Oryctolagus cuniculus: one gene and its partner. The protein of the gene in region 1 interacts with the protein of each later gene in a pairwise test. Links are inferred from orthologs where the notes say so. Each region holds a gene or a part of one and is shown on either strand. Other genes may lie near its edges.

What was found.
Region 2: the proteins of ARHGEF2 (region 1) and RPP25L interact in binary tests that used the Homo sapiens proteins (3 or more experiments, as listed by UniProt). The two-hybrid records come from large-scale screens. The link is inferred for Oryctolagus cuniculus from reciprocal best matches to the Homo sapiens genes ARHGEF2 and RPP25L.

Annotation. Positions count from the first base shown.
Region 1 is NC_091438.1:42,726,091-42,729,894, forward strand, and holds part of ARHGEF2 (rho guanine nucleotide exchange factor 2), read left to right. Parts: intron 1-564; coding exon 565-632; intron 633-883; coding exon 884-947; intron 948-1,503; coding exon 1,504-1,633; intron 1,634-1,793; coding exon 1,794-1,903; intron 1,904-2,001; coding exon 2,002-2,148; intron 2,149-2,959; coding exon 2,960-3,210; intron 3,211-3,407; coding exon 3,408-3,533; intron 3,534-3,723; coding exon 3,724-3,804. UniProt on the Homo sapiens protein: Activates Rho-GTPases by promoting the exchange of GDP for GTP.
Region 2 is NC_091432.1:197,633,012-197,636,719, forward strand, and holds RPP25L (ribonuclease P protein subunit p25-like protein), read right to left. Parts: upstream 2,155-3,708; 5' UTR 2,002-2,154; intron 1,326-2,001; 5' UTR 1,285-1,325; coding exon 793-1,284; 3' UTR 529-792; downstream 1-528. Other genes in the region: DCTN3 (dynactin subunit 3), read right to left, coding at 3,651-3,708. UniProt on the Homo sapiens protein: May be a component of ribonuclease P or MRP.

The DNA of each region.
Region 1 (3,804 bases):
CAGGACTCCCTGGGCCTGGAGAGAGAAGGCAGATGAGTTGGTGCAGAAGGCAGCGCAGGGCACAGGCTGCCCCCACTCTGCTGCTGGACCCCCAAGCCTTAGAAGTGCCTGGGCCCAGAGTCCAAGGCATGCTGGGAGTGGGGAGGCAGCAGGAGTGTGGCCTTGGGAGTCTGGTTCGAATCCAGTGCTGCTGCTGGCAGGTGACTGGAAGAGGAGCATAATTGAATTTCTCCCAAAGGATTAGGCACAGGTGGAACACTCAGTACTGGGAGAATGTGTGTTTCCCACTCTGGTCTCCTGGCCCCTGGCCCAGCTGCCCTGTCTTCTGTTCCTTGGGGGGCCTTTCTTCCCTCCACCAGTCCCAGCCACCTTTGCACCTCTTCTCTCTAGACCCCCCTCACACCACCCCTCCTGCTGGCTTAATTTCCCTAAACATCCATACCCCTTCTCACTTCATTTCCTGCTGGCAGGAAGAGGGAGGTGGGAGGAGAGGGGCTGGGGTGGGGGTGAGTCCCCTCCTGTACCACCCGACCCTCCCTTCACCCTCTCTACCCACCCTCCCAGCCTGCAATGTGACTATCCACAACCGCTGTAAAGACACCCTCGCCAACTGTACCAAGGTCAAGCAGAAGGTGAGAGGGTGGGGAGGGCAGCGGGCTGGGGGAGAGGGTAGTGAGCGTGCGGTACCCTCTTCCATTCATCCCTACCCTGTGTGCCTCAAGCCCTGTCCTCACCATGGGCAGCCCAGACCCTCAGCCCCAGGCCTCCTGCTGCACCTGCTGCAAATGCAGCCCCGCAGCCCTGGGCCACAGCGCCAGTGCCTCCCCGTGCCTGTGGGGGCGACCCGTGGGTGATGGCTGTTCTTGGTGTCTCTGTCTTGCAGCAACAGAAAGCTGCCCTGCTGAAGAACAACACTGCCTTGCAGTCTGTGTCTCTCCGCAGTAAGAGTGAGTAGTGGCCCCAGGAAGACCCCGGACCCCAGGCTGCTCGGCCCGTGGGCTCTGCTGCCCCCCTGAGGTCACTCACAGGCACAACACCGCTCTCCTCCTTGGGGAGCTGGGAGCAGGGACACGGGATAGTCCAGACCCTCTGGCTCAGAGCCTGGACAGGAGGACCCAAATGGGGTTGAGGCTTGGGATGGCCAGTCCCCTGAGCCCGGCCGCACCCCTGTGCTGTTGCTGATGTGCTCAGCATTGGCGACCTGTCATGGCTCGATTCAGACAGCATTGTTCCAGGGGAGCCAGGTGCTAGGGCAAAAAGAGCCGAGCCCCAGACCCTGCTCATCCACTGGCCGAATCCCCGCCCCTTGTTGAGCTTCACTTTGCTCATGGGCTTGCTCCCAGAAAGAGACAAGACAAGGTTCTTGGGGAGCATTGAAGTAAGGTGGCTTTGTCCTCACCGCTGCCACCACGTCCCCTGGACAAGAGCCGAGGAAGCTGGGAGGCCTGTGTCCTGCGAAGGCACCAGTGTTAACATTTGCCCTCTTGGTCTCTGCACCCCCAGCCACCATCCGAGAGCGGCCCAGCTCTGCCATCTACCCCTCGGACAGCTTCCGGCAGTCCCTCCTTGGCTCCCGCCGCGGCCGCACCTCCCTGTCCTTAGCCAAGAGCGTGTCCACCACCAATATTGCTGGGTGAGCCCCTGCTTGGGAACGGGGCAGCCAGGCGGGCCAAGAGCGCGGCAGTGGAGCCTGAGGTGGGGGGCGCGGAACGGTCCTTTGACATGGGGTGGGGGGAGGCTGCCTCTGGGATCCTGGCTGTGCTGGGGGATGCCAACAGCCCCAATTCCTTCAGCCATTTCAACGATGAGTCTCCCCTGGGGCTGCGCCGCATCCTCTCGCAGTCCACGGACTCCCTCAACGTGCGGAACCGGACGCTGTCGGTGGAATCCCTCATTGACGAAGGTGGGTGGGTTGGCGAGGAGCGGCAGCTGGGAAGCAGCCTGGCAGGGGGTCCCGGGAGGAGGACTCGGCTCTGAGTTGCTGCCCCGGCTCGTGCCCAGGTGCAGAGGTGATCTACAATGAGCTGATGAGTGACTTTGAGATGGACGAGAAGGACTTCGCAGCTGATTCCTGGAGCCTGGCCGTGGACGGCAGCTTCCTGCAGCAGCACAAAAAGGAGGTGATGAAGCAGCAGGATGTCATCTATGGTGAGCCAAGTCCGCCCTCGCATCCCTGCCTTCACCAGGTCCTGCCCGTCACATCCTCTCTGCCCACCACCACCTGTCGAGGCCCTTCCCCTCTTTCCCTGCGGGTCGCCGTGCTGCTGCCTGGCAGCCCAGTGCAACCACTGTTGCTGTCGGTCTCCGAGGCCCTGTCTTTGTCCTTTCTCCAATTCCTTCCTCAGTCTTTTAATATTTATTTTATTTATTTGAAAGGCAGAGTTACAAAGAGGAGAGATAGCAAGGGGGAAATCTTCTGCCTGCTGGTTCACTCCCCAAATGGCCACGATGGCCAGGGCTGGGCCAGGTCAAAGCCAGGAGCCAGCAGCTTCCTCTGGCTTTCTCAGTGTGGGTGCTGGGGCCCAAGCACTTGGGCCATCCTCTGCTGCTTTCCCAGGCACATTAGCAGGGACCTGGTTCAGAAGTGGAGCATCTGGGACTTAAACTGGCATCCATATGGGATGCCGGCATCGCAGATGGGAGCCTAACCCATTACCTGTTAACACCACAGTGCCAGCCCGCAGTCTTTGTTCTGTGCTTATCCCGGAGCTAGGGAAAGCCGGACGTGTGGAAGACAACGTGGTCCTTGCTCTGAAACAACTTACAGCTTGCAATGCCAAAGCATAACTACAGATAAAAGATTATTAGAGAATGACCTAAGATCCTAGTAATGCAGAATGTTAAGCTGGTCTGGGCCTTGAAGACCTGTGGGTGCCCTGAGGTCCCTATTAGCCTGCAGCACCCCACCCACAGTGGCCATGCCAGGCGGAGGAGGCCAGATGTCCCGTTGTGCCCACAGAGCTAATCCAGACAGAGCTGCACCACGTGAGGACGCTGAAGATCATGACCCGCCTCTTCCGCACGGGGATGCTGGAAGAGCTGCAGCTGGAGCCCGGAGTGGTCCAGGGCCTGTTCCCCTGCGTGGACGAGCTGAGCGACATCCACACGCGCTTCCTCAGCCAGCTGCTGGAGCGCCGCCGCCAGGCCCTGTGCCCTGGAAGCACCCGCAACTTCGTCATCCACCGCCTGGGTGACCTGCTCATCAACCAGGTGGGACGAGTTCCTGGAAGGACGGGTAGCCAGGGTGGACAAACTGGACGGGCTGGGGAAAGGGGTCGTGGTGTCCGGGGGCGAGCTGGCGAGGCGGGAAGCTGGCCCGTGTGGCAGGAGGCCGGAGGTGGGTCCAAGGGAGAGGGTGTGACATGGGGGAGTGGGGGGTGCTGACACAGTCTGTCCCCGATGTCCAGTTCTCCGGCCCCAGCGCGGAGCAGATGCGGAAGACCTACTCGGAGTTCTGCAGCCGCCACACCAAGGCCTTGAAGCTCTATAAGGAGCTGTATGCCCGGGACAAACGCTTCCAGCAGTTCATCCGGGTGAGCGAAGCCCTCCAGGTGTGGGGGGGCAGTCGGGGTCCGAGCCCGTGTGTGCCCGTCCACTCGCAGGCGCCGTCGGCTTCGGCATTGAGGCAGCCCTCTGTGACAGGGCAGGGCCCTGTGGGTGCCCAGGCACGGCGGACTCCTCTGGTTGGCCCCCATGGCCCTGAACCCCGCCTCTTCCTTGCAGAAAGTGACCCGCTCTGCGGTGCTAAAGCGGCATGGGGTGCAGGAGTGCATCCTACTGGTGACTCAGCGCATCACCAAGTAC
Region 2 (3,708 bases), on another chromosome or scaffold:
AAGCAGAGTGACAGAGAGGGAAAGACAGAAAGATTGTCCATCCACTGGTTCACTCCCCAAATACCCACAAGTCAGGGCAGGCCAGGCTGAAGCCAGGACCCAGAATGCCTTCCAGGTTTCCCACATGGGTGGCAGGCGTCCAAGCACTCAGACTATCATCTGCTGCCCCCCAGGCATGTTAGCAGGAAGCTGGATGGGAAGCAGAGTAGCCAGGACTTGCACCGGGAACTCTGCTAAGGAATGTATCCTAAGTGAGGTTTAACTTGCTATGCCAGAATGCCTGCCCTTGAGGTGTTTTTAAGACAGAAAAAGGCATCTCTATATACTGGGACATTAATAATAATACCAATTAATGTTCCTACAGTGCTGTGCGCCCAGGTGGCTTCCTGCCTGAGGCTTCTTACGGACACAGACCATCCCAGCACCAGCGTGGGCCTACTCTTCCTGTCTGCAGCCCGCGGGCTCTCAGCAGGAGGGGCAGAGAGTGCCGTTCTTAGTCCCACTTCCACACAGCAGCTGAGCAGAGGCTCATCAGACAAATGGGCAGAACCTTTATTTCCTGACGCCCTCCCTGGACCTCTGTCACAGACAGATTAGACACACTGTAGGTAGAAGGCAATCTAGACGTTGGCAGATGACAGTCCGCACCTGTCACTTCATTAGCAGTCCCTTCCCACATGCCAGAGGGAATGGGAAGCAGGAAGAGGCCCGCCTCTGTGAACCAGAGCCTTGCTGGGGACGCTGAGCAGTCACGGGGCATTCGGGCCTGGAGAACAGCCCTTCAGCAGATCTTCAGGACCGGTTGTCTCGAGCTCTTCTTCGGGGTCGGGGGCCACAGCTGGAGCTGGGTATGGGGCCCAGACCAGGAGGTGCCCCTGGAGGCTGATAGCCACACTCATTAGGGTCCAGGGGGTCCCGGCTGAGCAGTACCCACACTGCAGGCACATGGCGGCGCACTGTGAGGGGGTCTAGGCCGGTATCAGGTGAGGTTGGGACCCAGCTGTCCTCAGTCTGCAGGAATCGCAGCTTGGTGAGCTGGTGCAGGCCTGGGACCCGCCGCTTCACAATCTCCGCACAGCTGACAGCCTTCCCTGCGGCCCGGCCAGACCCTGAGAAGACCACGTGCCTTGCGCTGCCGCCCTCTAAGCGGCCCAGCGCCAGCCCCAGCAGGTTGCGGATTTTGCTGCCATCTCGAACCCGCATCTCGAGGGTATCGGGAGGCAGTTGAGGAATCGGGGACGGTGCTGGGAGCTCCACAGAGCCGGCCTTACGGTAGTGCTCCATCTTGCATGCTGCGGTGTCTGCGGTTCGGTTCTCGCCGCCCACTGCAGGGAAGCATCAGATGAGTGCCTAGGCAGTGCGCCCCAGGCCGCCCTCCACCCCCTTCCCAGCCCGGCGCTGCTCCTCATCCCAAACTTCCCAGGACCAGGGTCAGATCCCCGCCTCCCTGGCTTCTCACCACAGGGGCGTGCCGGCCCCGCCCCGTTTAGGGATGCACCCCATCAGCACCCGCCCCCCAATCCCGGAGTCCGTGAGACAAGGCCGCAAACACTGGGCTCTTTGGGACCCGGCCCCTCTAATCCTGGGCTCTGAGGGGTCCTTCACCACTCTCTCCCTCTCAAGAACACGACGGAACGCTCCTCCCCACAAGGACAGAGCCAAGGCCCCCTCACTCCATGTTCCCACAGGGCAGGGCCACGCCGCTTCGCCCCAGGCTCCTCCGGGCACGGCCGAGAACCTCAAGTGCTCCCCCTCCCCCAACGACGGGATCCGTAAGACAAGGCTGAGCATTCCTCCCCCGGGATTCCCAGGGTCGCTCGGTATCAACCAAGTCACTTAGAAACTCAGAGAGAGCACGACGCAGAAGGCTGCTTAGGCGACTCCCAGCCGGCCTCGGCCGTCTCCATCGCCACCGGCGGCTTCCATGGTCCCGCGAGCCGCTGCGGCGTCCCGTCTCCCCCACCATCCAGAGCCCCGCTCCCGCCAGGTGCCGGCTCTCACCGCCCCTACGGCCGCCGCCGCCGCGTCTCGCTGGATCGGGAGCCAAGATGGCGAGCGAGCCGGGAGCGCGCCGAGGCCGCGGGGCCGCGCACGCCGGGCGGGGGCGGGGCCTGAGGAGGGGCGTGCCCCGCGGGGTTTTTCGGGGCCGCCGTTGGTGGCTCTGCGGGGGCCGCTAAATGGGCTACAAAACGTCCTGGGGTGAGCTGGTCCAGGAGCTCGGGCGCCTGGGGACACGCCCCCACCCCTCAGCTGTTACGCCCGAGTCAAGGGCACTCCTAGTGGCGGGGAGAGAGCTCAGTGGGTGAGAGAAGCGGCCACAGCGCTGGGAGGCTGGCGTCACCAGTTGAGTATCCCGCAAAGGGGAAGCAGAAGGTTCAGCTAGGAGTGGCTTTAGAAATACCGCGTGCTGCTGTGCGGGTCAGAGCCTTGGTCACCCAGTTAGGAGCTGTAATCTCATCCTGTGGGCACCGGCGAACCACGAAGGGTTTTCAACAGGGGCCGGTCCAGCCGATTTTGTCCACACCTCGCTCAGGCCTCACTTCGCAGGGGAGGGAGTGGTGGGAGAAATCGAGCCGCAGACGCCGGCGAGCTCTGCTCTCGGTGCCTAGTGCAGTGCCCCGCGTTTAACAGGCGCTCGAGTATTCGTTACATTCTTTGTTGGATTAATGAACCAGAGAAAAGGGCAGTAGGGATAGAGAAAGGATTAAATTGGGAGCTACTATTAGATAGGTTCCGTGAAGACTGGATGAGAAGTAGGATGACTCCCAGGTTTCAGGCCAGTTTGAACTCGCTGACAGGGCACACACGTGCGGTGACAGAGGCGGGTGAAAGGGATCTGGAGCCAGAGCACTCCGTGAGACCACGAGGGGGCAGCAAACACTTGGTGGCGCGCCGTGCCAATCAGTTTCTCCTGCCCTCTCCCCAGAACCGAAAACTTCCCGCATCCAAACCTCTTGGGCTCCCTTTATCAGCTAATGACACGAGGTAGGCTCCCAAGAAAAATGTCAAGGCTTCTCTCTGCCTTTCCGCCCACTGCCCCCTTGGCTCTGAAATCCCTGCACGTCACCCAGCAGGGCCGCCTCCACTTCACTCCGTTTCTCTTCTGTGCCTACCAGGTGAGACTTCCCTTTACCTTGACACCCACCCCCTCCTGCCCGCACAGCCCGTCAGGGATTAGGTGGGCCCTACCTGTGTGCCCCCCCCTTCGCTGTGGCATCTGACATTTAGAACGTGCTGAGTGAACATGGGATAAATGGACGCTAAACAGATGTCTCATTCGCATCAGTCAAGTGCGGGCCTTCATCTGGGGAGCTCTACTCCTTCCACAAAGCCAGACCAGGATATGTACAGTCCCCAGGCCACCCACTCTGCAGGCCGCCAGCTCTGCCCTCTGCCACCCCCATCCTCACCACCAAGCCCGTCCTGGCCTGGGAAGCACACACTCCTCCTCCGACCTTTATTGTTACACTGTACAGAAAACTGATGGTGGGAAGGTAAATCACAAATCTCAGGTAACCTGACCTCTAAGTGCAGACAAATGGCCCTAGAATCCAATAAATACAAAGTGGCCTCTGCCTTGTCACGAAGACAGGTTGGCACTGGAGCCTGGAGCCCGGGGGCCTTGGCCCACCCTGGGAGGGGAGCAGCCGTCATTCCTCTGCGGGCTTCACTTGCTTGGCAGCCTCCAGCTGGCAAAGCAGCTCATCC